Linked DNA regions of Pelodiscus sinensis. The protein of the gene in region 2 purifies or fractionates together with the protein of the main gene of each other region. This does not show direct contact. Links are inferred from orthologs where the notes say so. Each region holds a gene or a part of one and is shown on either strand. Other genes may lie near its edges.

What was found.
Region 1: the proteins of MPHOSPH6 (region 2) and EXOSC6 purify together in Homo sapiens (affinity purification with mass spectrometry; 3 studies listed by BioGRID and IntAct, with this or other methods). This does not show direct contact. The link is inferred for Pelodiscus sinensis from reciprocal best matches to the Homo sapiens genes MPHOSPH6 and EXOSC6.
Region 3: the proteins of MPHOSPH6 (region 2) and EXOSC8 purify together in Homo sapiens (affinity purification with mass spectrometry; 4 studies listed by BioGRID and IntAct, counting the BioPlex papers as one, with this or other methods). This does not show direct contact. The link is inferred for Pelodiscus sinensis from reciprocal best matches to the Homo sapiens genes MPHOSPH6 and EXOSC8.
Region 4: the proteins of MPHOSPH6 (region 2) and EXOSC3 purify together in Homo sapiens (affinity purification with mass spectrometry; 6 studies listed by BioGRID and IntAct, counting the BioPlex papers as one, with this or other methods). This does not show direct contact. The link is inferred for Pelodiscus sinensis from reciprocal best matches to the Homo sapiens genes MPHOSPH6 and EXOSC3.

Annotation. Positions count from the first base shown.
Region 1 is NC_134722.1:48,825,779-48,833,038, reverse strand, and holds EXOSC6 (exosome complex component MTR3), read right to left. Parts: upstream 3,006-7,260; 5' UTR 2,959-3,005; coding exon 2,089-2,958; 3' UTR 373-2,088; downstream 1-372. Other genes in the region: AARS1 (alanine--tRNA ligase, cytoplasmic), read right to left, coding at 4,960-5,145, 5,872-5,985. UniProt on the Homo sapiens protein: Non-catalytic component of the RNA exosome complex which has 3'->5' exoribonuclease activity and participates in a multitude of cellular RNA processing and degradation events.
Region 2 is NC_134722.1:10,611,454-10,618,832, reverse strand, and holds the start of MPHOSPH6 (M-phase phosphoprotein 6), read right to left. Parts: upstream 3,002-7,379; 5' UTR 2,866-3,001; coding exon 2,815-2,865; intron 1-2,814. UniProt on the Homo sapiens protein: RNA-binding protein that associates with the RNA exosome complex. Involved in the 3'-processing of the 7S pre-RNA to the mature 5.8S rRNA and play a role in recruiting the RNA exosome complex to pre-rRNA; this function may include C1D.
Region 3 is NC_134711.1:294,865,710-294,873,610, forward strand, and holds the start of EXOSC8 (exosome complex component RRP43), read right to left. Parts: upstream 3,001-7,901; 5' UTR 2,903-3,000; coding exon 2,667-2,902; intron 2,621-2,666; exon of another isoform or gene 2,426-2,620; intron 1-2,425. Other genes in the region: ALG5 (dolichyl-phosphate beta-glucosyltransferase), read left to right, coding at 5,526-5,664. UniProt on the Homo sapiens protein: Non-catalytic component of the RNA exosome complex which has 3'->5' exoribonuclease activity and participates in a multitude of cellular RNA processing and degradation events.
Region 4 is NC_134718.1:14,179,708-14,186,785, reverse strand, and holds the start of EXOSC3 (exosome complex component RRP40), read right to left. Parts: upstream 3,008-7,078; 5' UTR 2,951-3,007; coding exon 2,669-2,950; intron 1,701-2,668; coding exon 1,551-1,700; intron 1-1,550. UniProt on the Homo sapiens protein: Non-catalytic component of the RNA exosome complex which has 3'->5' exoribonuclease activity and participates in a multitude of cellular RNA processing and degradation events.

The DNA.
Region 1 (7,260 bases), about 38 Mb from region 2:
CTGGAACAACACTAACAGCTGTAATGCCTTCCCCTCTAGGATAAGACTCAAATCCAGCCCAGTTATTATCATGTGCTTGCTGTTCAGTCATTATGATGAAACTGTTGCCTTCAGTCCAGTTTCAAAGCAAAGATTTACATAACTGGCCCCTTTACATAGGAGTAGAGCTGTTATGCACAAAGCTATCCTCTTCACAATAGGGGAACTCAGAGCTGGAGAGTGGGCAGTAAGAGAAAGCTAGCCCTGCTAGTATGGAGTTTTAGTCTTCAGGACATCTGGGGACATCACGGATTTCACTTGGAGAGTTTTCTAATCAAAGGGCCCATTACAGAGCAGAGGACCCACATAGATCAAAGCCAAGAAAACATGAACTTCCCAGTAAGAAAATTTATTGTAATATAAAAATGTTCTCCAGTCAATCAATTCTCTTTGGTGGAGAGTTACAAATGGGTCTTATATATTAACTAGAGTTCACTGGGCAGTGGTTTCTGACTGGTGCTCAGATTTTAGTCACCAAAGTATACAACCAAACCTTTCCATCATCACTTCTGTTGGGAACCCATCCTCCAAATCAATACAAACCAGGGGCTGGGTGAGTTACACATTACAGCAGATTCAGGATAAAGGCTCTCTATCAATTTCTCCTGTTGTAGTCAAGTAATAACATTTACATTAACCCCAGAGAAAGAAAAAAACTGCATTGGTACCTGTCCATTGTATTGAGAATTTGCGTTAACTGGCCTCTTTGGAAATTAAACACTGACATGCAATAAAGAACCCATGCTAAGCAGAGCAGCAACCAAAGAGGAAATGGAAGGTCCCGATTAAATCAAAATAATTACACTAGCAGATCTCTCAATTTTTAGGGAAAGTGAACTGAAAACCAGGAAAAATGCAGTCGTGATTTTCTGGGGGAGAATTAAGATATAATCAACATGTCACCAAAAAAAAAAAATCACTGAGAAACATTTTAAACCATCTAATAAAACAGACTGCTTGCTGGTCAACAGTATTTCTTGCCATTTCGTAGGAATCAGGTGGGAGTCAATAGAAACAATTTAAAATCTCAGGCAGGAGGGGGAGGGTTTTCCCACGTCCCCCTGAAGCACATACCAAATACATTTGTGCACACCAACAAATCAAGGCAGTCTAATCCTACCAATGGAAAGATTCAACTGCCTCACATTGTTGCATGCAGCCAATCACCTGCAAAACAGTTTACCTCTCATCTGCTGAATTGTGTTAACCATAAAGTACAAACCCCATTTCTATTATACTTAAAAAGCCACTTAAACAGTTCTATGGTGGATGGTAGCTGCCATTGGATGGGAAGGACTTGCCCTAAAAGGTTTGCCACAGTTTGTCAGTTCTGCAGTGCTGACTTGCATCTGTAAAGTCTCTTCTACAAGACATCTCCAGCTCACCCCACCTGGTGCCAGCATAGAGAAGAAAAGCCACAAGGAGATCTCCTGCATATGTTCAGTCTCCAGATTCTGGCTTTGCTTTCAGTCCCGATATCGGTTGAAATGTTCACAATTTTGCCATGGTGCTGGTGAATTTCCCTCTGGGTGCAAAAGTCCATGATATGTTCCTCCTTGGTAGAGAGGCCCCATTCAACTCATATCCCTTGCAAGGTGGAGCAATGTCTGGGGCTCTGGTCACACTGCCTCCTCGTGGGGCTTTCCAGAAAGTGGCTACTCCGTGGATCAGGCCCCTTAGCAGTCCAGTCGCAGGGGGGTGAGGTTGCCGCGCTGCTCCCCACACTGGCGATGGGCCAGGTCTTGAGCTAGTTTGGAGGGGCTGCTGCCCAGCACCAAAGGGGGCCTGATCTCATCACAGATGTACTGGTGGGAGGGCTGTGCCACTGAGACCTTCATTAACTCCCGGAAGGGGGGGCTGGCCCATAGTCTGCATTACAGGCTCAGCGAACTGGGAGGGGGCCGTGATTGGAAAGGGGTGAGCAGCTGGCGCCTGTTGGGGGCCCTCGGGGGCGCTTCAGGGAAAGGAGCCTGGCGGGCGGGCCGGGGAGGCCGGGCGGGCCCCTTAGGGCCGGTCCGGGCGGGCGGGGGAGGAGGCCGGGCGGGCCCCTCAGGGCCGGTCAGGGGGAGGGGGCCGGGCGGGCCCCTCAGGGGGAGGAGGCCGGTCCGGGGGGTCCCGCTCGGGGGGCGGCAGGCCCCGCGGGAGCCCGGCCCGGCGCTCGGCGGCGCGCAGCAGGCTGCGGCGCAGCAGCGGGTAGAGGCGCTGGCAGCCCTCCACGCCGAGGCGCACGGCCTGGGCCCAGCTCTCGGGCGGGCCGCCCTGGCCGCTGCCCAGCAGCCCCGCCACCTGGCCCAGGCCCGGCAGCAGCGCCACGGTGAGGCGGGCGGCGGCCGCGCGCTCCTGGGCCGCGCTGGGCTGCAGGCGCCAGGCGGCGGCGGGCCCGGGCGCGCGGCACAGGCCGCAGCCCACCACCAGGTCGAACATCTCCACGCCCGCGTCGGCCAGCGCCAGCGCGGCGGCGCAGAGCGCGGCGGCCAGGCCCGCGCCGCCGTCCTGCAGCAGCAGCGCGGTGAGCTCGAGGCGCGCGCGCGGGTAGCGGGCCAGGCGCACGGCCGGCGCCAGCGCCTCCTGCAGCGCCAGGCCCAGCTCGCGCTCGCGGGCGGCGGCGGCGGGGCCGGGGCGCGGGCGCGCGCCGCGGGCGCAGAAGGGCGCGCGGCGGAAGTCGCAGAGCAGGCGGCCGCGGCCCTCGGCGGCCTCGCGCGGCCCACGCACGGCGCACAGCACCTTGGTGCCGCCGGCCAGCTCCACGTAGGCCGAGCCCTCGGCCTGGCTCAGCAGCCCGGCGCGCGCCAGCAGCGGCCGCAGCGCCCCCGCCTCCGCCTCCGCCTCATCGGCCGCCGCCGCCTGGCCCGGCGCCGCGTACAGCAGCGGCGGCTGCGACTCCTCGGGGCCCGGCACGCGCCGCGGGTCCAGCGGCATGGCGGGGCTGGGAAGCGGCGAGGGGGCGGGGCCAACGGTAACAGCAGGGGGCGGGGTTAGCGAGAGGGCAGGGCCAACGGTAACAGCAGGGGGCGGGGTTAGCGAGAGGGCAGGGCCAACGGTAACAGCAGGGGGCGGGGTTAGCGAGAGGGCAGGGCCAACGGTAACAGCAGGGGGCGGGGTTAGCGAGAGGGCAGGGCCAACGGTAACAGCAGGGGGCGTGGTTAGCGAGGGGGTGGGGCCAACAGAGCAGGGGAGGGAAAAACAAGGAGTGGTCTGGCAGCACTTTACAGACTAACACAGCGGAGCTGGGCTCATGAGCCGGGCACAGCGGGGCGCAGGTTCAGCTGGAGCTGGGAAAGCTCACCCCGCCATCCACACTTGGTTAGTCTCTGAGGTGCTATCAGATTAGTCCTTGTTTTTCAAGTTTTTCCAGCAGGGAAGGGTGGCAGGAGAGAGGGGAGTTAGCAAAGGGGCAGATAATGGCAAGGTGGGGAGGGCAGGGGGCTAGTGAGGGGGCCAGCAGCAGGGGAGGAGATTAGCAAGGGGGCCCAGTGATAATGGTGGGCAGGGCTATTCAGGGGCTGGCAGTAGGGAGAAGCCCCATCCTATCGCTAACTCTACTTAAAGCCAAACACCCTCGCCTCCCTCCCTGCTCTCCACTCACTTCATGCCCCCTTCCTGTTGCTCACTCTCCCTATTCTCCCTCACATGCTCACTCATTTTCACCAGGCTAGGGCTGTGGCTGGGGATGCAGACTGGGATAGGGTAGGGGTGAGGGATTTGGGTTGCAGAAGGCTGCTCTGGGTAGGATGTAGGGCAGCAGGGAGATCAGGTTCCTGCCAGCATTTACCGCAAGTAGCTCCCACAAGCAGAGCCATCTCCCCACTGGTGTGAAGGGCCCTGGCTGCCCTTAAATGTAGATGCCAAAGTGGGGAACAAAGTGTTGCTTCTGGGAGCCACACAGAGTCAAGGCATTAGCCCCACTGCATAGACTTTTAATGGCTGGTCAGCAGCACTGAGTGGTGCCAGGATGGTTCCTTTCAGCTGGGTGTTCCAGTCAAGATCTGGACACCTGACAACCCTAGTTGACAAGGGGGGCTTGAGTGGTAATGGAGGGGGAGGAGGCTCACATGGGGCTAGGAGAGGCTCCTGAGTGGGAACAGTGACCCCCCAGCTGAGGAAGCATGAGGCTGACAGTGTTCCTACAGCCTCCCTGGAGATTCAAGGTTACTGGGCACTCCCTGAGGTAGGGTGTGTGAAGCCCCCACTGACAGCAGGCACCCTTGCAGTAGCTGTGGGCCATAGGTCAGTGCAGGCCAGTGCTCCCACCTGCCTTGTCTCTGGCTTTTGCTCCCATGCAGAGTAGCTCAGCCCTGTCACCTCTGACCATCCCAAGGCTGGCACTTCAGAGAATTACAGAGAATGTGGTACCAGTCACTCCTCTGCAAACTTCCTGTATTATCAACAGCTGGTAACAGTGGTGAGGTTCAAAATACTCTAGCAGGTTGGATCCCCACCTTCGACACCCAGCCTCATTGCAGCTCATGCTTCCAGTGTAGTAACACAGGGGTGAAGGTGGTACACACAGACTCTTGGCTTTGATGCATGTTAATTTATTGTAGAAGTGTGACAGTATTTGCTAACAATTAGCACCTTGGACTGTGCTCTGCAGACTTTACACCATTAGCTAGTTAATCCTCACAGTAGCCTGGGAAGTAGGTCAGTACTGTCAGCTTGACTTTAGACAAGGAACAGACATAGAGAGGATGAAAGTGACATGATTCAACACAGGCTACCGGGAGACCTCATCAGAGCTGGATTAGGACACAAGCTGTTGATTCTGCTTTTAGTCTGCTAATGCCTCAAGCAAATGGATTCAGAAGGAATGAGGAGCAGAATCCATCTTCACAAGCCCCACTACACTGTAACCTATCGGCCAGGCTGAGGAGAGTTGAGGGCATTCCTTGATGTGCTGAGAGTCAGTGCAGGGGCACTAGGTCAATTCTTCAGCTCACCAAGGTGGAGCTTGGCAAAGTCTGTGGCCAGTTTCAGAGCCTCCTCTAGGCAGTCAACATTCTTTCCTGTAGCTTGGGCAGATACATCTTTCCCACCGCCTTTGCCATCCATCAGACCCGTCACCTCCTGCACCCACTGGTTTGCCTTCAGGCCCTTGGTGGCTAGCTCCTGGAAAGCAAGAATTCAGATTCTTTTAAAGACAGCAGGTTTGGAGTGACTGCTGGGGAAGGCAGGATTTCCAGGCTCTGTGCTGTGGCTGACAATGCCAGGGAGGGAGGGAAGGAAGGAAACGTCTTTTCCAGGCAGGTGAGTGGGTTTGAATCAGTGGCTCTCAATCTTTCAAGATCACTGCCTATTGTGACAGCAATAGCCTCAAAGGGTCTTCTGTGATCGCACCCCCTTTCAGGAGTCTGATTTGTCTTGTGTACTCCATGATTCACCTCTCAAACATTATTTGTTTTCAAAATCAGAGCTACAAAAGTCAAGGCCAAGCCCTGCACTCGCAGCAGTAACCGAACAAAACCCACCGACCCCACCAGAGGCATATGCCATTGGACATGTGGTGTAAGGCTGAAGGGGCAGTCAGAGACAGAACAGGAATCAGAAGAAACACAGAGTAATGCTTCTTCAGAGCCCCTCCTCAGTGGAAGCTGCTCATTTCATGTTTCTATCCCTGTCTCCACACCCCATCCCCAGGAGCCAGGGTCAGGAGCAGGGCTACTGCTACTGGAAAGGGGCGGGGGGAGGGGAGATGCAGATAGGGAAGAGGCTGGAAGGTGGACTTCCCTGTGCATGAGGGGTGCAAGAATCCTGAAGTACGCCCCCCCCACCAGTCTGACACTCCATCTGAATGGCTGCAGGGCGGCACAAGGAAGGGCACACACACAGTACTACCTGAGGTACTTGGCATAAGCAAGTGATCTTCCCAGCTTCGCTATCCACAGAGAAGAGCATGGCCGCAGTCTGAGGGGAGTAAGCCTTGAACAGCTTCAGAGATTCATTCAGGGCCTGTGGAGACATGCACACCGAGTCATGGCAAGAACCAGCTCCTGACACCACATTGCAGGCTCTCAGATCCCTCTGCAGCCACAGCCAGGACAGTCCCCAGTGGCCCTGAAGGTACGAGCTGCATAAATTGGTGAAATGATCTAAAATCAACAGGATGAAATTAAATAAGGAGAGAAGTGCTCCACTTAGGAAGGAACAATCATTTCACACACACAGAATGGGAAATGACTGCCCAGGAAGGAGTGCTGCAGAAAGGGATCTAGGGATCACAGTAGATCACAAGCTAAATATGAGTCAACAGTGTTGGAAAAAAGCAATATTCTGGGATGTATCACCAGGAGTTTTATAAGCAAAACACAAGACGTAATTCTGCTCTACTATGAGCTGATTAGGTCTCAACTGGAGTAGTGGGTCCAGTTCTAGGTACATTTCAGGAAACATGGATATACTGGAGAAAGTCCAGAGCAAAAAAAATATATGTATATTAAAAATCTAGAAACCAACTATGAGGCAAGACTGAACAAATAGGCTTGTTTAGTCTGGAGAAGAGAAGACAGAGGACCTGATAACAGTTTTCAAATAAATAAAAAAGTGTTGCAAAGACTGTAGAAAAATGGTTCTCCTTAACCTGAGGTCAGGACAAGAAGCAATGGGCTTAAACTGCAGCAAGGGAGGTTTAGGTTGGACATTAGGAAAAACTTCCTACCTGTCAGGGTGGTTAAACACTGGAATAAATTGCCCAGGGAGGTTGTGGAATCTCCATCCTTGGAGATATTTAAGAGCAAGTTAGATACAAACCTGTCAGGGATGATCTAGGTAATGCTCAGTCCTGCCATGAGTGCAGGGTATTGGACTAGATAGCCTCTCAAGGCCCTGTCCAGTGAACAGAAATGGGCTGCAAGAAAGGTGAAGGTGGAGAGGCTTCACTGACTGGGAAGAAGTCCCTAAGCACCAGGCACATAATCTTCCCAAAAAGAGATGGAGCGCCCTCGTTCAGAGAAAGAACTGGTGCAGTTACACAACTCCCAGGACAGGCTGTGCGGATGCACAATCCCCGGGACACCTCCAGCAGCACCCCACAGAGAAAAGCACCTGGACTCTGGAGCTAGAACGCAGATGCAGCATTTGTGCAGACTGCAGTAATGGCCCCAAAAGAGAATTCTAGAGCAGTGGTTCTCAAACTGGGTCAGGCCCCCACTTCCATGGGGTCACCAGAACTGCTTAGACTTCCTGGGGCCAGAGACGGAAGTTCAAGGGATCCCCATCCTCAGCCAG
Region 2 (7,379 bases):
TTCAAGACCCTATCCCAAAATCAGGCAAATTTTCACTTACATCAGGACTCCAGATTGAAGCATGAATCATATACAAGAGAGGGCCCAATGCCCCTTATGATGTTATTTGACTATGTATTTACTATCTTTACCATACATTTTTGGTTTATACCATATTTACACGTTTTTATTGCAACAGATGAGCAAAGCACCCCAAGGCTTATTTTGTACACCAGTTTAGTACAGTTATGCCCAGGGGCAGATGACTGTTTTGCAGGGCCCCGGGCAGCATAACTCCGCGGGGCCCCCCTTTGCCACGGCGCATGCTCGGGGCTTTTTTAAGCGCGGGGCCCGGGGCGGCCGCCCCGTTCACCCTGCCCTATATCCACCCCTGGTTATGCCTATGCCTCCTAAGATGACGTGTCTCTTTGCACTGGCAGCTCAGGACATGGGTCCTGATCCTAGAAACAGCACACAGCACCTTGACTGAAACCATGTCCCAGCAGGCTGGCCTGGTGTGGAAGAGCCCATAGCAGAGAAGGGGGTACACATTATAATGCCATTATCTCTTCCCAGTTTACACTGCAAAAACCAGCTTATTGTCTTCGCTCTAGCTGTGCTTAGGTCCCTTCCCTGCCATTCAAAACACCTTCCCCATGTCCTTTCATGCCCCCAGAGGTCTTCAGCTTCTCATCAGCCCATACTGAATAGCCTAATTTAGTCTTTTCATTTCTTCCGCCCATACTTCCAAGTACAACAGTAAGCAGCAAAAGGTACAAATGCCTAGGCAGACACACAGCTTCCCACCTCCTTACCCTCAGCCTCTATACCAGTCCCCCTATGTCAATATCCGGCTCCCTGCCCTCTCCTCTTTGTAGCGCTCTATATACTTCAGCTTCCCCACTAGCTTGAAAAGGCATTCTTTCTCATCTTCCCCACCTCGGGAATGGTCTCCTTTCTGTGCCTCCACAATCCTCCCAGTGGGGAGCAGTGGCCTGGAAAATGTGTGTGTGGCCACACTGTTACAATGGGGGAGCAGTAGTTTTGATGATATGGAGATTAAGGTGTCCACTTGAGGGGTAATTAAAAAAAATTTTGTTTCTGGGCCTGCGATTGTCTGAGGCCTCCTCAAATGCTGGTGGGCAATCTTTCCCTTTGTTCCCCTACCCCTAAATGTCTGGTCCCACGTGCAGAAGCCTCCTGGAGCTTTTCTAGAGATGTTAGATAGCAATTAACTGAATAGTTGTGTAACTCCACAAAATATTGATTACTTAAGTATTCGATAGTCCCCAGGGATGGGGCCCACAGCCAGTGTGCTCTGATAGCAGCAACCTCTGTCCATGGGGGGCCTGAGCTTCCCCCACAGACAGAGGCTGCACCGACATGTCACAGAGCAGCCTCTGTCCGCTATCAGCCTGGGCCTACTGGGGACAGAGATTGCTCCGCAGCAACCTCCCCTGGTCCTCTCTCGCTGCCACCTCAGATAAGAGGCAACAGTATGGGGGTGAGGAGGCAGGTGGCTCCACAGAGCTGGTACGTGAGGAAAGCTGGCTTAAAAGCCAGTTCCGCACATGTATCAGCTCCTGCCTGTCTGCTCCAGATGCCATGTTCTGCTCTGCTGCCTCTGATAGAGAGGCAGCAGTGTGTGTGTGAAGGGAAAGGGGTAGCGGCTTGCATGAGCCCATATGCACTGGGATCTGGCTTGAAAGCCGGCCTCTTGCGTGTACTGTCTCCCACCTTCCCCCCCCTCCCCACGTCTCGTATCTGCCTTTCTATCAGAGGCAGCAACGCTGGCGGTGGGAGAGGAGGAGCAGGCAGCTCCCGTGCTGGTTCGCCACGGCACCAGCTCCTACTCGCCCCTGTGATATAGAGGCAGGGTGTGTGTGTTGTTGCTAAGAGTAACACACAAACCCAGGCAGAGTGTGTGTGTGTGTGTAGTTGCTAAGAGTAACACATAAACCCAGGCAGAGTGTGTGTGTGTTGTTGCTAAGAGTAACACATAAACCCAGGCAGTGTGTGTGTGTGTGTGTGTGTAGTTGCTAAGAGTAACACATAAACCCAGGCAGAGTGTGTGTGTGTGTAGTTGCTAAGAGTAACACATAAACCCAGGCAGAGTGTGTGTGTGTGTGTGTGTAGTTGCTAAGAGTAACACACAAACCCAGGCAGAGTGTGTGTGTGTGTGTGTGTGTGTAGTTGCTAAGAGTAACACACAAACCCAGGCAGTGTGTGTGTTTGTGTGTGTGTGTAGTTGCTAAGAGTAACACACAAACCCAGGCAGAGTGTGTGTGTGTGTGTGTAGTTGCTAAGAGTAACACACAAACCCAGGCAGAGTGTGTGTGTGTTTGTGTGTGTGTGTAGTTGCTAAGAGTAACACACAAACCCAGGCAGTGTGTGTGTTTGTGTGTGTGTGTAGTTGCTAAGAGTAACACACAAACCCAGGCAGTGTGTGTGTGTAGTTGCTAAGAGTAACACACAAACCCAGGCAGAGTGTGTGTGTGTGTGTGTAGTTGCTAAGAGTAACACACAAACCCCGGCTTATCGGTTAGCCGTGTAGTCACGCTGACATCGGTACCTCTCCCCACGGGCTCCACTCCCCCGGCCCTCCCTCCTCACCCCCTTGGCACGGGCCAGGTCTTTGCCTTACAACCCCACAATCCTCTCGGGGGCCCCACCCCGCCCCACCCCACCCCTCATTCCCTAACCCCTCCCCCCCCGCTCTGCTGCCAGGGCCGGCTCCCCCAATCTCCCTGGGGGCCGGCTTAGCCCCCACTCCCCGCCCCGCCCCTCAATCCCTCCACCGGGCGCAGCCCGCCCCGCACGCGCCCCCGCTCTCGCCTTCATGCGCAGCAGGTTCTTGGACAGCCTGGTCTTCGCCTCGGCGGCCATCGCGGGGCCGGGCCTGGAGGCCGCGAGCGATCCCCGCCCCTCTGCTGCCGCACGAGCCGCCCGCAGCCGGGCCACGCGCACAGGCCGCGCCGCCGGAGCTGGAGCGGCGGGGCGGGGCCGGGTTTCCGCCCGGGGCCTCTGCCGCGCACGGGGGCGGGGCCTTGTGCGGGGCGGGGCCGCGCTGCGGAGGCGGCTCTGCTGGGGGGGGGGGGGGGTCGCAGCCCGTGCAGCCCCCTACCCGAGCCTGGCACATACATGGGGGGGTCACACGTCATGGATGGGCAGTCCCCTACCCGAGCCTGGCACATACATGGGGGGGTCACACGTCATGGATGGGCAGCCCCCTACCCGAGCCTGGCACATACATGGGGGGGTCACACGTCATGGATGGGCAGCCCCCTACCCGAGCCTGGCACATACATGGGGGGGTCACACGTCATGGATGGGCAGTCCCCTACCCGAGCCTGGCACATACATGGGGGGGGGGGGTCACACGTCATGGATGGGCAGTCCCCTACCCGAGCCTGGCACATACATGGGGGGGGGGTCACACGTCATGGATGGGCAGTCCCCTACCCGAGCCTGGCACATACATGGGGGGGGGGTCACACGTCATGGATGGGCAGTCCCCTACCCGAGCCTGGCACATACATGGGGGGGTCACACGTCATGGATGGGCAGCCCCCTACCCGAGCCTGGCACATACATGGGGGGGTCACACGTCATGGATGGGCAGCCCCCTACCCGAGCCTGGCACATACATGGGGGGGGGGGTCACACGTCATGGATGGGCAGCCCCCTACCCGAGCCTGGCACATACATGGGGGGGGGTCACACGTCATGGATGGGCAGTCCCCTACCCGAGCCTGGCACATACATGGGGGGGGGGGTCACACGTCATGGATGGGCAGCCCCCTACCCGAGCCTGGCACATACATGGGGGGGGGTCACACGTCATGGATGGGCAGTCCCCTACCCGAGCCTGGCACATACATGGGGGGGGGTCACACGTCATGGATGGGCAGTCCCCTACCCGAGCCTGGCACATACATGGGGGGGGACACGTCATGGATGGGCAGCCCCCTACCCGAGCCTGGCACATACATGGGGGGGGACACGTCATGGATGGGCAGCCCCCTACCCGAGCCTGGCACATACATGGGGGGGGGTCACACGTCATGGATGGGCAGCCCCCTACCCGAGCCTGGCACATACATGGGGGGGGGGGGTCACACGTCATGGATGGGCAGCCCCCTACCCGAGCCTGGCACATACATGGGGGGGGTCACATGTCATGGATGGGCAGCCCCCTACCCGAGCCTGGCACATACATGGGGGGGTCACACGTCATGGATGGGCAGCCCCCTACCCGAGCCTGGCACATACATGGGGGGGTCACACGTCATGGATGGGCAGCCCCCTACCCGAGCCTGGCACATACATGGGGGGGGGTCACACGTCATGGATGGGCAGCCCCCTACCCGAGCCTGGCACATACATGGGGGGGTCACACGTCATGGATGGGCAGCCCTTCCCCCGAGCCTGGCACATACATGGGGGCAGGAAGGGGGGGGGTCAGACCCCATAGATAGCCAGCACCCCAGCCTGGCTCACAAGGGTCGGGACTGGTGGAGGTCACATACAAAAGATGGGCACGTCCCTCATTCCAAGCCTTCAGCGGTGGGAGGGTGGGTCTTGCCCATGTAGGGGACCATAGATCATTCATGATACAAGGGCCCTGCCCCATTCTTCCCCAGTCCTCCTGTCAACCACTCTCTCCTTTCCTATTCTTCCACTTTTGCCCCTCTACATGCCTTAGTCTTCCTCCTTTACCCATTCCCCATCTCCCAGTTCCTTTTTATTCCTACCTACTCTCCCACCCCAAGCACCCTCCCTACCAGCAAACATTTGCTTATGTAGTTTATTTTCTTTTCAAAGCACAGTTTTAGCACCTTCTCGGTATTTTCAGATTATATTTTCCAAAATAAGAATCCCCATTTGACAGAAGGAGATTGGAGCAATATTTCTGCTTTTTTTTTAAACTTGAGATTTCTGCCCAGAACTGGATTCAAATCTCCCCATACTTGGGGTTCTATTCAGATTTAATAATTGTTAGATCCCTTCAGAGCCACACAAATTCCAGAGGTCAATATTTCCCCTTAATAGTTATCCTTTTCTCTCTGCATATGCTTAGTGTACTCTATTAGGATTACAAATGGACTCACAAGCCTTAGCGTGCCTGGCTGAAGAAGCAAATCTTTTCAGACAACATTTTAATTTTTCTTCCCCGCAAACTATGCCTGTATTTCCCCTCTATGGTCCCTTAAGAGACCCATTCCAGGGTGCTAACTCTTCAACCATCGTTTCTGTTAAGTAGAGACCTGCATCTCTCTCCTTGCTGACCTGGCTTTTTCCTGGTCTTCACCATTCCCAGTAAGACAGACTGCTTAACCAAGCCATTGTGCTTTGCTTTTTCTTTAAAAGCTACACACAGTGTAATTGCCTTTATTCTTAAGGTGAAAGCATAACAGAGAAATCTTATGAAAACGGCAAGAGTTCCTAATATGGATGCAAAAGCTTGCTAGAGGTCACCTATGAGTCTTATGGGGTTTCAGTAGGTCAAAGTCCTTCCAACCCTTCCCAGGAATGACCGGAGCCTCCCATAGGCAGAAGGTCCTGTCCATTTGCTGGATCAGAAAAAAGGCCATTTATCAGTTTAAACTGAGGCTATTTATCTAAACTTCTTTCTTTGTCACTTAGTCTTTGGGAAATCTAGTTTGAACTGGTATACCTGTGCCTCTCCAGTAGTGTTACTCCTCTGGAGGTGTTATGACCTGAGTGAATTTGCTTAAGCACTCCCCATTCCTTCCCTGTTCTCAGTTCTTAATTCCAGGGGAGGAATAACATACAGTCCAACCCACCATGATACATACATTTGAGATCAATTAAGATAGTGGAGGAAATTGCCCTACTTGTCTTAGGTACCTTGCACTGCTGGGTGTTTGAGACCCTAGTTTGATCATTATTGGCCAGCAACAAAACTTTGTCAGAATGTGAGCTCTTTTTTTTCTTCTGGTGGCTCTTTTGATTGCATCCTTTCTATATTCAGTTGATGCACATGTCAGTGTGCTGATCAGCAGTGAAAGTAACTTAAAATTAATTACAGGTGTTGTCCTGTTGCAGCCTGTGTCCCTGCTCTTTAAATAGCTCCCTGCTGGCTTTTGCTGCAGTTCAGCCAGCTCTTGCTGAAGCTGTGAACCTAGGCACACCTACTTACTTTCACCTCTGGTGCTGATGCCTGTGACTTCATTGAACATCATGGAGCCAAATGTACTATAATTTACACCACAAGATTGTCCTCTAAACCCTTTTACTAGTTGTGTGTGGTCCCATGGCAATGGTGGGGAAGATGAGGCAATTTTCCCACCTTAAATACATGGGTAACCATTCCCATACATGGACAACTAGAACGTGAGGCTTTGCAGTCTCTGAAGCACAAGAATTGTTCCTTGCTTGCACCCCTTGTGGGATGGGGAAGTTTCTAGGCCAGCTCAGCTGGGAGCTCTACAGGAGTTGTGCCATTCCAGAGCTCCTGCTGTGTAAGTGCATCTCTATACCCACTGTCCACTGTTTTTGCCCAACTGAGCCTCAACTGGTGTAAGTAGTTGTATAATGATTTACACCAAAAAAAGATCTGTCCCAAATACATTCAGGTCCAAAGTGCTCTGTTCTGAAGTCAATACAGTATGGTTCTGTCTATTTAGAGAGGCAGCAATTTGTAAAAAAGGTACCTCAATCTATGTAGACAGATAAAAAGCATCAAAGAATATTTTTAAATTGCATCTCTGAGCATTTATACCCTTAATTGGTCGGTGAGGATAGACAGCAATTGGATGTATTTTGGGCACGATCATGCTGTGTATTACACCGATTAAGCACTCCATTAATTGTAGTGAATATCTTCACAATGTATACTTGTGTCAAAGAGAGCAGAATCTGGCCCTAGCTCTTCAACCTCTGATGATATGAGGTTAGTCTTAATGAAAGAGATCAAAAAAGTGGCTCTTGTGATGTGGGGTAGGAGGGTTATTCTGAATGACCCTTTTCCCAATTCTGGCAGCTAAAATTGCAACTCTGCTTTCAACCTACGAATGCAAAAGAGAATAGCTCACTGAAACAGCACAGGAGAAAAAAAAGTCCAAATCATCAAAGATTCTACATTAAACGGACAGATCAAAGATGTTATTTCCTAGGAGACAGAGGGTCTTTTTTTCAGTGAATATCAAAGTTAAATTAAAGTTTTAATTAACATTATTTAAAGAGTAGTTTCTCTTTAAACAATGTGAAATAGTTTTTAAGTGATCTTTGTGAACTAGGTTCGTGCCAAGTGGGTTTCAGCTTTAGATAATGCAAAGGTTACCTACCTGCTAATATTAATGCTCTCCTTTAAAAAGTGCATTTATGCTTCCAGAATGATTATAATTCTAGCACAATATACCTATTTCAAGCATTGT
Region 3 (7,901 bases), on a different chromosome or scaffold from region 2:
ATTTTTAACATAGAATGTAATGTTTCAGATTGTTTTCTGCACACTCCCTAAAATGACACAATTTTTCAAATCACAATAAAGTTGACCTAAGTTGCACAATTCCAGCTATGTGAATAACATAGCTGAAGTTGACATACTTTAGGTCGACTACTTGCAGTGTCTACACTATTCTGGTTTGATGGGATAAACTCTCCCATTGATTTATTTTATGCATCTTGTTCTAGTGGAGTACCAGACTCACTGGGAACACATTTGGCAGTTGATTTAGCAGGCCTTCACTAGACCCACTAAATCAACCACTGGTTGATTTATTGCTGCAGCATGGATCCACCTGGTAGTGGAGACAAAGGCTAAAACAGAGAACAGAAAAACTGAGAAGACACAATGTTCCACAACTAGAAACTGATACAACACTGTTTGCAGCACAGTTAATCTTTGACACAAGGCCCTCAAGTTTTGTTCAAACTAATGTTTTTGAAGACAAATTATGGAAAAGGTAACTCAGAACTTTTATTACATTTTCTAAGCCAACATAAATCGGACATATGTATGACAATTTACAAGCAGAAGGGTAATGTTAATGTCAGTATTCCTTGAGCTATCCCCAGTTAGCATAGACATAAGGGCTGTGTCTACATTGGCATGAATTTCCGGAAATGCTTAAAACGGAATACTATTCCATTTTCAGTTTTTCCGGAAAAGGAGCATCTACATTGGCAGGTTACTTTTCCAGAAAAGCCCTTTTTCCGGAAAAGCATCTGTGGCCAATGTAGACGCGCTTTTCCGGAAAAGAGCCCCGATCGCCATTTTCGTGATCGGGGCTTTTTTCCAGAAAAGACTACTGGGCTGTCTACACTGTCCCTTTTCCGGAACAGTGTTCCGGAATAAGGACTTATGCCCGAGCGGGAGCAGAATAGTTTTTCCGGAATAGCGGCTGATTTTGTACAGTAGAGCATCGTTGCTTTTCTGGAAATTCAAGGGCCAGTGTAGACAGCTCACAGCTTATTCCGGAAAAGCAGCTGATTTTCCGGAATAAGTGGCCCAGTGTAGACACAGCCAAGGGCTAGACCTCACTGGCTCAGGCAATACAGGCAGTCCCCGGTTTACATACAAGATAGGGACTGTAGGTTTGTTCTTAAGTTGAATTTGTATGTAAGTCGGAACTGGTACATATTGTAGGGGAAACTCTAGCCAAACATTTCTCCAGAGCTCAGTTTTATTCTCCCACACCTCACTTCCCTCAGTTCTTTATTCTTAAGCTGAGGTGTCTGCTGAGAAAAGCCACTCCGCGTTTCCCTGGTCTGCTGGGGGGAGGGGGGACGACGCGCTAGCTTCGCATCTCCCTGGTCTGCTGGGGGGAAGCAGCTAGTGTGGGGTTGCCTCACCCCGTTTGTAAGTAGGGATCCGATGTAAGTTGGATCCATGTAACCCGGGGACTGCCTGTACAATCTACTGTGCCCCATTTAAAGATTGAGACACACAGGAGAGAAGCAAAGAGAGTTGGATCAATGCAGAAATCTTTCTTTCCCAAACACCTGGGACTCCTTGTTCAATCAGTTCTTACACTTAACTCCCATTTTCTTCTAACTGTCCTCAGATGGATTCCTCCACTCCAGCAACTCTAACATTTGGTCTTCATATTGATTAGGAACAGATTACAGTTGCTATGATTTCTACCAAGACTTTTCCTCTAACATAGACAAAGACCCACATTTCAAAATGCCTTAGCTGGCTATGACAACTCACTTTTTTGGCAAAACATATGATGCAATGTAACTCAGAACCATAACTGCTGTAAGGTTTAGGGATGTGGGAAGAATAATGTATTTCTGTAATTCATTGAAATTGAAAGAACTTTTCTGTAGCAAACTGCAATGTTACATTGAAAGTGAATAATTTGGAGAGAGGGTGTAGTGAGGTAGAAAGTTGGTCTCTCCCTTAACACTGTCTGGCTGCTAAAGGGCACAGTCCTATTACTGACCCAAACCCTTAATTCAACAGCAGTTACAGCTATTAAGTCTTTAGTTTTGAAATCTAGATAAATTCAGATAGAATGAAATATACAAAATCTAAGAATTAAGTCAGTTTAAGAGGAGGGGAAAACCGAATGTTGATTTTACCATAGCGAGTAAGGGCCTCAATTACAATCCTATAAATAATTCTGCACAAGCATCGTGCTATAAGTATGGGGAGCCCCAGTGAACTCACTAAAATTAGTCACAGGCAAAAAAAAGTGCACGTGCCACGTGCTTGCAGGAGACAGGCCCTCGATTGCCAAGACCACGAATGACAAGCGGTGGGTGGACATGCTCTGCCAGGGAAAAGTGAGAGTTGGGGGGGAAGGGGCGGTGTATTTCGTCCCCGCCCCCACTCCCAAGGCGGGCTGTTGAGAGCAGGCGCTGCAGACAGGGCGGGGGGAGCGGCCCCTCACAGCCGCCAGGAATCGGTTCCCAAGCTCGGGCCTGGCAGAGCTCGGGGCCCGGCGTGCGGCGAGTAGCCACAGCCAGGGGGCGCCACATGAAGGCTAAACCCTCTGCACCCGGGCACCGCCCGACGCCGCTGCGACCGCCGGGCCTAAGGACTCGGCAGCAGCCTGGGCGAAGCCGCAGCTCCCGCTGAGGTGACTGAAGGCGAAGGCCAAAGAGCTTGTTCGCTCAGTCTCTTACTTGAATCCGGCCGCCATAGTCCCGCTTCCGCCCCTGCGCGATCTACTTCCGGTTCCGGGGGGGACGCACTTCCGTGCCCCTTCCTCCCCCATCTGCCCCTTGGGCGGATGCTGGCCGGGAGGGGCGGAGGTTTCCCGGCAGGGGGCGCTGTGGGGCCCGGGCGCTCTGAGAAGCGGCTCCTCTCGTCGCAGCGGTTTGTTGTCAGGGCCGCTTCCGCCTCGCTGGAGCTGCCCCATAGGCCGCGCCCGGCATGGAGCATGGAGCCGCTCCTGGCTGACGTGGCCGCCGCGCTCGCTGCCTTGGCAGCCGCAGCCCTGAGCCTGGTGAGTGCGGCCCCTGAGGGGCATCGCGCCGCTCACGGGGCAGCCCCCGACTCAGCTGAGAGCCCCTCGCTGGGCGCGGCCCCGCCCCCTTCCGCGGGGGGAGCAGCCCAGCGCCCCGACCGGCAGCGGGACGGGACCCCGGCGAGGGGCGCTGGGCGGGAGGGGCCACGCTCCCGCTCCCCCGCACGAGACTGCCTGGGGCCACAGGCTCGGCCCGGCCCGGATGGGCGGTCGCAGCTTTAGACCCGCTGCAGTGTGGGGCTGGAAGGAATCTCACAAAGCCCAGCCCTTCTCCCCGAAGCTAGACCGTGTAACCCCTCGACTGTCCCTGACGGGCAGGTCGAGTGTCCAGCACGCTCTTAATAATGGCCCAAGGTGGGGATTCCACAGCCTGCCTGGGAAGCCATTTCTCTTAATATCAAGCAGTTCTCCTTTGCTGCAGGCCACTACTTTTTGTCCTTCACAGGATGTGCAGAACAGTTGTCCCTTTTCTTACAGCCCTTAGCGTATTTGAAAATTGTTATCAGGTTGCCCCTCAGTCGTTTTTTTAAAGATTAAGCAAGCCCAGGTTTTTTTGTTATCTGTACTTGTAGGCCAGGATTTCTAAGCTTTTATATCATTTTTGCTGCTCTCCTCTATGTTACCTGTAATCATTGTAGCATTTAGTTTGAGGATAAAACTACACTTTTCCAATTTTAAGAAAAATTGAACCATTTAAATACTGTATTTTGTTCAAAGAATTTGGTAGCTGTGTTAGAGAAGCTAGCAGGACACATTAGTAAGTGCAGGCAGTGTGTGTGTGTTGTTATATGACATAGATGTAAACAGTCCCTGCCCCAAATTCATTACAGTCAAGAAGATGAAAATGAGGGGGTGTCTAGATTACATGCATCTGATGAAGTGGGTCTTTGCCCACGAAAGCTTATGCTCCTACACTTCAGTTAGTCTATAAGGTGCCACAGGACTCCTCGTCGCTTTTGTAGACTACATCTGTCTTTCAACAGGATCTTTCAAAAAAAGCTTCTATTTTCGAAATTACCGTGTCTAGACTGCAGTTTCACTTTTGAAATAGCGCTTTTTCGAAAGAGCACCATGACACAATTATGCAAATGTAGTGCAGGAAATTCAAATCCTGGCTTCATTTGCAATTTCGAAGTGTCTAATTGACATGAGATTTCAGACACTCTGGAGACTCAGAAGTAGGATATATGACATGCAAACATATTACCTATATATTTAATACATTTTTCTCCTCTTTCCTTCTTCACTTACTTTTGTAAGTCATAAGATTTCATTCCACAGAGATGTTAAATGATAACATCCATAGGGATGTTAAATTTTGATTAATTAATTAATCGAATAGTTGATGGGATTTCCATCGACTATTCGGTTAGTCGATAAGAACGTCCATGTTCCACCTTTGAAATGCACAAGAGCCCCCAAAGGACTCCCTGCTATGAAAGAGGCAGCAAGGGGGCGGAAGCGACTAGTCAACTAGTGTGTCGACTATTCGCTAACTTTTGCTTATCGGATAGTCGATTAATCACTTACATCCGTAATTCCACAGTTACTGAAGTTTATGATTACTGCAAATTATGGTGGCCTATCTCTTAATTCAGCAGTATTTCTTTCTAGTTAGTCTGCTCGTAGTGGTAGTGTTGTGTGAGTTATATGTGTGTGTGTATGGTATTTTTAATGGAAAACAAAAGTTGTTACTTAATTGCATTATTTAATATCAGTTTTATATGTGATAAGATTTGCTTCTTGTATGGACTTGCTTAATATTAGAGATGTTGCTGCTAATGCTTGCTATGCTCTAGATTTTTAGTTAATTATCAACTAATGCAGTGGGTATAGCTACAAGATTTAGAACTGTTGTGCACCAGGGTCTAGAAAATGTTCACTGGGTCAAATTTATGGTGGCCTTTTCTAGTTGAAAATTTCATTTGCAACTTGCTGGGAACCTGGAGCCATATCCTGTGTAGATAAAATGGAACCACTAAATGCCATATAAAGACTATAAATCATAACCGGTAAAGTTCCTTTTTGATCTGTGCAGCAGATAAAAGAGCACTCCTCAATGGACCCACTTTACCATGGTTGTTAGAGCCATCCTATCCATAGGGTGAGCTGGGGCAGCCGTCCAAGGCCCTGTGCTTTGGAGAGGGCCCTGCGGCTCCTCCATCCATCCTATGGACAGGAGGTACCTGGGAGATTATGGGGCTTGGGAAGGGAAGAAGCAGGGCTTGTAGGATGGGGCTTACCTTGGGCTGCACAAATGGGGTGAGGGTTTCCCCAGAACCTGTGACTCCTTGGGATGACCCTGATGGTGTAATAGGAATGACTTTAAATTACTCGAATGTAGACCACAGATATGATTGACCATCCTTTGTTCAGTAAATTAGAATAGTTGAACACCTAACCAAATGTGGTTATGCAAAAAATGAATATAGCATTTGCTTAATGCAACATTGTCATAAATACCATTTCTGTTTTTTCACAGATTACTATTGTTGCCCATATAACTGCCACAAAAATGCCAAATCTTCATCGACATGAAGAAGAGAAGTTCTTTGTAAATGCTGAAGGGAAGAAGGAATCTATACCAAGCATACATGACCCCCCTACAAAGGAGCTTTCTGTTGTTGTGCCTTCATACAATGAGGAAGACAGGTGTAAGAATATTTCTTGGTTTTCTTTTTGAGAGACAAACTAAGTTTTGTGTTGCTGGTGAATGTCAGCAACAGAAAATTGCAGATTATGTAGCCATTTTGCTTACCAAGTTTTCAGGTCGCAATCAAGTAAATGGAGTTGTGCATGTAGAGCTTCTATAGAGTCCAGACATGCTTTTTTAGTGACAGAAATTAAACTACTTTCTGCAAAAAACAATTTTTACTAAAACTGTGTAAAATAAAGGTAGACATTTATTAACTAGGTTGCTGAAAGATTACAAAAGCCACTTTAAGCTGGTCTTCAGTGACTCTTAAAGTCAGTATGGGAGGTTAGGAGTAAAAATATCCATATTGGTTTTTTTTAGAATTTCACACTCTGGAACTTATAGCAGGGGCTTTAATCAGGCAGAAGGAAGGAAGAATGGTCTTGTTTAGGAGATATGGATTCTATTCCTGGCTTTACCATGTACTTCCTGTATGATCTTGGGCAAGTAATTTAGCCTTAACTTATAAAGGTCCTTCTGATGTGAAAGAGTTGTAAGCTGGAGGCTGTCTACTTACTGCTGGCACTGCAGATCATGTTGTTGTCTTATCTGTCTCACTGCAGTAAGAGCCACCAGAAGGAGTATGTATGTATTGTCCTTGTCTATAAATTGATCGGCCACAAGAACAATAGGTGCTGTCTCGGGGTATGTTTAAACTGCAATGAAAAGCCAGCTGATGTGGGCTCGTAGGGTTCGGGTTGCAGTACTGTTTTATTGTAGTGTAGACTTCCCAGCTTGGCCTGGAGCCTGAGCTCTGGGTTCCTCCCACCCTGCAGGATGTGCCTGGCTCTAGTCTGGGGGATGGGATGGGATGGGAGGGGAGGGGAGGGGAAGGGAAGGAAAGGAAAGGAAGGGTGGTTGGGTTCGGGGGGGGGAGGGAGAGGCGTGTGCACGGTGTCCCAGCCAGCACATCTCAAGGCCGGCCACTCAGCGCACACACCCCGGCACCTGGAGGGAGACGCGTCTAGCTGTTAGTGGCGGCTCCACCTCCAGGACCTGAGAATTAGATTAGAGTGGGGGGGAGGGGGATTGGTATTGAGGGGGGCCCGTGCCTGGCTCTGGGGAGGGGAGAGGAGGATTGGGTTTAGGGAAGTGTGTGTTCCTGACTCTGGGGAAGGGGAGGAGTATTGAGTTGGGGGGGATGTTCCTGGCTCTGGGGAAGGGGAGGGAGATTGGGTTAGAGCCCGGGGTGGATCCTTGGGGGAGGGAAGGGGAAGAGCAGGCAGCAACTTCCTGAGACCCGGGATCCCTAGGTACTGGCCCCAGCTGTCTCTGTCCCCTCCTCCTGGCCAGACCCCCCCCCCCCCCCCATGAGTACCCTGCCCCAGCACCCTATCCGCTGCCCCCAGCAGCACAGTTGGGGCCACATTAGTGAGGGTTGGGGGGTTTGGGAGGAGTTGTTTTTTTGCATCTCACTTTTGTGGCCCTGACTGACTTTTCTGTGGGTCAGTGACCCCTGACTCAAAACAGGTTCCCCGCCCCTCTCATAAATAAAGACAATGCTGAAACATTTTGTGTTTGACATATTTTATTTAAAAATGAAGCCTGGCCAACAAGCCCCCAACTGGGGCCAGTTCTCCATCTGGCCTCAGCATCATAACACTCTTGCACCTCCCTCCCCTCCAGGCCCCAACCTGAGCCTATCATTCACTGGAACCCCCTGTCCTAAGCCTCTCACATCCCCAAACTCCTGCACACCCTCATCCCCAGTCTTCTGCCACAACACTCCTGCACCATCCACACCTGCAAGTCTGTGTCCTGAGCCCATCATACTCTCAGCTTCCCTGCCCTGATCCCCTCATGCACCCCAGCCCAAACTCCTGTACCCTCACAGCAACAAGCCTGTGGCTTGCTCAGCACCCCAAGACTCCACCTGACCCCAACACTGTCCAGCCTAGAGCCCTCTCCCTGAGCCAGCATCCTCTTCTCTACTTTTTCCTGCACTCAAATTCCCTCCCAGAACTTGCACCTCTCACCCTTTCCCAGTGCTTCTTTTTGTGAGTCACAATAGCAGTGGAGACAGCATGAAGAGCCGGGGTAAAGTTGTTGAGCCAAAAAAAAAAAAAAGGCTGGGCTGCAAAGACTTGGGGAAAAGCTATGAAAAAAAAAAAGCCGTGCCCTGGGACGGATGTACCAGCACCTATTGTCCCCCAGCGCAGCTTTTTTTTTTTTTTTTCTCTCTCAACAACTTTGCTC
Region 4 (7,078 bases), on a different chromosome or scaffold from region 2:
TACCCTGTAGACTTGAAAATGTTCCATCTCTCTCTCTGCTGTTTGAACTCTGATAGGGCCACAGGCTTTAAACTGAAGCAGAGATTCCCAGAGGTTTCCCCTAAATCTGCCCTGAAGGACACTTGGAATTGACAGATTATTACAACATTCGTACTTTTAGGATTTAGATAATGGTTCATTTGTGTGTACAGGCTTGCTTATTTAACTTACAATGAACTCATTTCCTTTTCCTAGTTAACAAACCTTTAGATAAAACTTAAACAACAAACGGTCCTGCCGCACCTTAGAGACTAACAAAAAAAATGTAGATTGTTTCATGAACTTTCAAGAGAACAACCTACTACATCTCTGAGACTTTTAAACCTTTAGATAGCTTATTAGAGGATTGGCTACAGGCACTGTCTTTGGTGTAAGTTCTAGAGTACCAACTAAGGATGTTAAGAGATGGGTAACTGACTAATTGTGTAGTCGATACAATTTGTATTGACTTCACGATTAATTGATAAGGGAAGGTGCTCAGTCCCAGCTTGTGCTGGTTCAGGAGCTACCCTCACTGCAGCTCTGCAGTTTAATTGTAGGAGCCAGGTGCACAGGCAGAGCTGCAGTGGTCCCTGATCAGCACAAGCTGGAATTGCTTGGTCCCAGCTTGTGCCAGGTTTGCAGTGGGCAGAGCCTGCTCTGTGGCAGCCTCCCATGTCCCCTGCTGCTGTCTCTATCAGTGGGGATAAGGGGGCAGGCAACACTGGGGAAAACCAGCTTTTAAGCCGACTCCTGTTTCCTCCCCCTTGCTGCCTCTCATGCAGAGGCACTAACGGGGATGGGAAGCGACAGGTACTACTCGCCTACATCCCTAGTATCAACTGATCTGGGGTAAATGATTGTCTTGTGGACTGAAAGCAACAAAGCAACTTGAACATGGTGTGATTTTTGGTGTAACTAACTATTTATCATTAAGCTCCTCTTGTCTGGGTGGCAAGATAAAGAATGTCTAAGGGAACTGTCTATGATCCAGGTGTTCATATTTGTTACTGAGTTGGTGACATTTAATTATATAATTCATCACCAGTTTAACATGTCTGCCCTGTTTCATAGTCTGCCCTGAGTTAGGTACTATAGTCGAGAGCCACTCAAGACAGCACGACAGTCACATTTTGTAAGAGCCTGTTTTATGTAACCTGAATTCTAGGCCTAAATTGATCTCAGACTCTCTCTTTGAAGAGCTATTCTATCACAGAAGTGCCATTTCCTCCCTGTGACACAGCTGCACACCCTCTGTATAATGAATGGCAAAATCTGGCAACTAATACTGTGATAGTCAGTGATCAAAGGAAGAAAATCCCTCCCTCTGCCAGGGTCCAACATAAAAGCTAGGAGAAAAGGCAAAGAAAATGTTTGTACATTTCACTAAAAATCTATTATATACCAGAACATCTTTTGACTAAGATACGGATAAATATATGAGGAAATTTTAATTGTCAATTTGCAAGAAAGTGAAAACACAGTATTTTAAGGGCTTTGATAGTGCCAATATATATATATAACAAAATTACCTGCACATTTGGCCTGTTTCTTTTGGTTGCACCTTCAAATGCCAAGTAGGACAAAGATGCTTGCTCACTTCCACCAACATCCACTTTGAATATATCACCTGCTTTGATAGTCACTATGCCTATCACATGATCTCCCTTGACTGGTACATACTGAAAATGAAAACAAACTTTAGGATTAAGACATGTAACAAGAGAAACATATCGTTCACGCGCACGCGCGTGTTTGTGTGTGTGAGGGCTCATTGGTTAACCCTCTCTGTAACGTGTAGCCCCCCCGCACTGCTGCTTCTGATACAGAGGCAGCAGTGCAGGGAGGGAGGACGGAGCCACTACCTCAGTGGTCACCAACCAGTAGATTGGGATCTACTGGTAGACCTTAGAGCCTCTGACAGGTGATCCTGACTAGTTTGGCCAGGAAGCTATCAAGCACTGGCACTTCAGTTGCCCCTCCACCCACTGTCATGCTGCTCCTGCCCTCTGCCTTGGAGCTGCTCCCCCCCCCCCCGCCGAGCCTCCTGCTTGCTGTGCAGGGTGTCTCTCCTCTCTCCACTTCCACAGAGAAAAGGGGATGGAGGGAGCTTGGCAATGTAAATCTGTCACTCTCCTACACTATGTGTGCCTGTCATTCTCACAGGCACACACTGTCCTTCACTTTCATCTCCCAACCCAAAACATACGTGTGTGCGGGGGGGGGGGGGTGATTTCTTTTACTGCTTGCAAAGCGTGTGATTTTGGGTTGTTGACTGGTCTGTGCATTTCATCCTTTTCATTTCTCTCTGAGTTTAAATGTAATTATTGGAGCAGCCAGTTCTAAAATGCCGAACCTACTGGAGTTATTACCCCAATGGCAACTGCTGCTCCTGGAAGTGGCTTAATCCTGCAACCAGAGGCGCTTCAGGGGCACTAGCCCTGCTCCAGTGAATCATGTCAGTAGCAATGGGCTCTGTCTTTAGCGCTTGTGCCCCGCCACACTCGCCCCTGGGGGGAGGGGCAGGGCGCAGACGTTGGGTCGATCACGCGGCGGGTTCCACGGAGCGGGAGGTAGCGCGCGCGGGGGGGGGGGGGGGGGAGGAGACGTTGGCCGCACGCGCCACCCGCCGCCGCGCGCGCGCGCTCACCCGCTTCTGCTGGGAGTCCACCCAGTAGGCGCCGCCCGAGCCGCCTCCGGCCCCGCCCGACGGGCGGTGGCGCAGCAGCCCGCACTTGGTGACCAGGAGCCCGGCCCCGCAGCGCCGCAGGCCCGGCCCGCACACCAGCCGGCCCGGCAGCGCGGCGCTCGCGCCCAGCCACAGCCGCTCCCCGCCCGCCTCGGGGTGCGAGGGCAGCAGCAGCACATCCCCCGGCAGCACCACCTGCCCCACGCGCTGCTCGGCGGGCAGGGCCCCCTCCTCGGCCGCCATGGTCGCAACGAGGGGGGACGCGTGCGCCGAAAAGCGGCGGAGGGAGGGGGTAGCGGGTCCATATTGCGCATGCGCACAAGTCTGGCTAGGGCCTCAGCCGGCAGAATGGGCGGGGACGTCACTCCGAACAGCCCCGCCCGGCGGCGCGTGCAAGCCCGAAGACCCGGAGTGAGGTTCCTGTAAGGAACTGGCTTGTACATTACCCGGCCTGCGGTAGCGCTGCAGGGGAGCAGGCCCGCTTGTTGCGATGGGCGGGTGCCAGCCGAACTGTGCACAACCCGCACGTCTCTGATTCGCCTGTACAAACTGCTAATGTTAAACTAGGAAGCTGGAGTTAGAAAACGGAAAACTCATGTCCCCCTGAATTGTTAACCACTGGCGACATCACCTGGCCAAATAAAGATACCAGGGGTTCATTAGTATAACTGTCAAATTGTCTTGCCAATTCACCTGCCAATTTTCTGCCATGATATTAAATAAAAAGAACCCCAAGGCTATGTCCGCACTGCAGGCTTCTTGTGCAAAAAGTTCTTGCGCAAGAGCGTGTTCACGCCCCCATGTGCTTTTGCACAAGAGATGTGCTTTTGTGCAAGAATGTCCATGGAGTGTGGACGCTCTCTTGTGCAAGAAAACTCTAATGGCCATTTTAGCCATAGGGGTTTCTTGCGCAAGAAACCCCTTTTCCCGTCCACACTGCTTTCTTGGCAAGAGCTCTTGCGCAAGAGGGCTTATTCCACAGGGGGGAAAGGAATAACTCTTGTGCAAGAAGCTCTCTCTTCTGATGCTTTACTGTAAATTTACTTGTGCAAGAACACACGTGCAATGTAGACGCTACGCACGTTTTTGCGCAAGAATAGGCAAAAACATGTAGACTTCTACATGGCAGGCTTCTTGCGCAAGAACTGTTTTGCGGAAGAGTTCTTGTGCAAAAGGTCTTCCACAAGAGTGCGTCCACACTGCCATGAGCTTTTGCAAAAGAGATGTGCTTTTGCAGAAGAGCGTCCATGGCAGTGTGGACACTCTCTTGCGCAAGAAAGCTCTGATGGCCATTTTAGCAATAGGGGTTTCTTGCACAAGAAATTCATGTTACCCCATCTACACTGCCTTCTTGTGGAAGAGCTCTTGCGCAAGAGGGCTTATTCCTTGTGGGGAAAGGAATAACTCTTCCGGAAGAAGCCCTGTTTTCTGACGCTGTACTATAAATTTACTTGTGCAAGAACACACGTGCAGTGTAGACGCTCTGCAAGTTTTTGCCCAAGTAGTGTAGACATAGCCTAAGTTTATTTGCTTATGAAAAACGTACCATGAACATCCAGAATACTGATGAAAATAGCATAAGATAGATGTAATAGAAAACTTTTAATTCTGGATTTCAGAAGTTTCAGGGCAGAAGAAATCCCACCCTTGGAGTAGTGAGCATGGATAGTATAGACCTTAGCCAACTGCCACAAACTCAGACTATGTGGGTATGTCTAGACTACATGGCTCCGTCGACGGAGCCATGTAGATTAGTTTACTAGACATAAGAAAATGAAGCGGCAATTTAAATAATCGCTGCTTCATTTACATCAAAATGGCTGCCACGCTGTGCCGATCAGCTGTTTGGTGGTACAGCGCGGTAGTCTGGACGCTCCATGGTCGACGAAGGAAGCACTTGTTGACCGCCCCGGTAAACCTCATTCTATGAGTCTTCCCTTGTCGACCGCAGAGCGTCCAGACTACAGTGCTGTGCCGCCAAACAGTTGATTGGCACAGCACGGCAGCCATTTTGATGTAAATGAAGTGGCGATTATTTAAATTGCCACTTCATTTTCCTATGTCTAGTAAACTAATCAACATGGCTCCATCGATGGAGCCACATAGTCTAGACATACCTTGTGTTTGTGCCTTCTCCAGTATCACATTCTGTAGATGCATCCCTAACCTAGTGCTAAAAACTGTGGCCCACTGTGCAGCGACAGGAAGGGGTCAGCTCCAGCCTCCCTGGGCTTCCTGCCCACAGGATATCAATTAAGTGGTTAACTGTAACATTTAACAAGTTAATTGATTAAATGGGATTTTGCATTCCTTTGTTTTGGGGTATCTTCTGGACAGAAGTGGATGCCTTATGCAATATGCTATTATGTACTGGGTCCTTCAGGACAAGGGGCTGATATTGTGGGGATGTAGGAGTCAGGGCAGGGCCTTGGGAATGTGTGTGTGTGGAGTTCTGGAGGCTGCGGGGGTTAAGAAAGTGAGGGTTGGGGGATAAAGGGAAGCTCAGGGTGGAGGAGGCCCATCTGGCACAGGCCTTTTCTCTCCCCCCTTAGATCTCCTCACTGCTGCCAGGGGCTGTCCCCTTTCCCCCGTGCTGTGGCCAAGGGCCAGGAAGAGGGAAAACAGTTTAAAGGATACTTACTTGGCTTGCTGGCAGGAAAAATGGCAGAGCCCCAGCCCTGCTTGTCACTCCCTTGATTGTACAGCTGCCCCCAGCAGCTACTCTCATATTGTGTCCCTCTGAACAGCAGTCTCTCCCTTTGCATGTTATGGAAAACTGTCCTTTTCCCCGGGCTTTCAATTGTCCTGGCACAACCAAACCCAGACCTTGCTTTAAGTTAGGTGAAGAGGGAGCTGCACTCCAAATTTGGTGGCACTAGCTCTTACCCTTTAGAAGGACTTCTTGAACAAATGGACTCGCAGACAGACACACACACACACACACTCTAAAATATATACGCAGATAAAGACGGAATGGATGGTGTGTGTTCTGCCATTTACCATCTTAACTGTAGTATGCAGTAACTACTTACTATGCAGTTTTAGCTAATTGTAGATTTAGGGTTTTCTTCCAGAATTCCACCTGACTTCAGGAGAAGTTACATTCAATTGAGGGTTGTAAATTACCTTTCTAGAGAAGCATAATTAGCTATAAAATAGCCTTCTCTTCCTCTCCCTTACCCCATCTGGAATTTCTTACATTATGAAAAGCCAATTTACAGGCTGACTGAAGCTCTTCTATTTAGAGAGAGGGAAGTCACATGCATAAGTGTGTTATGGTGTTTTAAAATCATACATTTTTATTGAGGAATCCCCCCCCCCAACAACTTTTCATCAACATTATTTTGACTGAATACATTAAAGAAAACATGATTTTTGACACTTCATTCAAATTGGTTCCAAAGTATGCATAATAATAATAAAAAACTATAGACAACTGAATGTACAGGATAAAAGGCTTTTAATATCTCAGATTTTAAAATATGATATGTCACAGGAGCGGTGTTAAACTTTATTAAAAACTTCATATAGTTTAAACAAATTCTAAATTTAGTATGTGCACAGTTGCAATTATTCAGAAGATATTTTATGCAATTATTTAACTAGAAATTCAAGATGCTGTTTAGGCAAAATGTAAAGTTGCCAGTTCCATTTGCCTTGTGCCTGAGTTTTAGCTAAAATCTAACCTTTTAAAAAACTGTTCTAAAGGATACACTATTTCCAAAATTAGCAATTACAGATATAGTAATCAAATTGGTATCTGTGGCCCATCATGAGCAGAAAGGAAGACTCTTTCGTACTCATATCCAGAGCACTGTATACAAGAAGACATTAATTTAGTCAATTCACATACCTTATTTTTTGTCTTTATATTAATTTCAGGTATTCACTGGATACATATTTGTCATGTGTAACTACTGTATCTTTGGTTTTCATGTCTTATTCATTCCTAGGTTTGCTGTGTTCTACAAGTCACCTCATCAAGCTTCATAGGAGCTTTGCTTGCTGTGTTCTCAATTAGGGTATGTCTACACTGCATTCCTCTTTCAAGAGGGGAATGCAAATGCAGCTGAGCGAAATTGCAAATGAAACGTGGATTTGACTTTCCCATGCTTCATTTGCATAATCGTGTCCGGGCGCTATTTTGAAAAAAGAAACCCTGTCTAGATGCGGTTACTTCGAAAGAAATCCCTTCTTTCAAAATTACTCTTAAACCTCATTTTATAAGGCGTTGGGGAATTTCGAAAGAAGGGTTTTCTTTCGAAATAACTGCGTCTAGACAGCGTTTCTTTTTTCGAAATAGAATATTTCGAAATAGCGCCTGGACACGATTATGCAAAAGAAGCACGGGAAATTCAAATCCATGCTTCA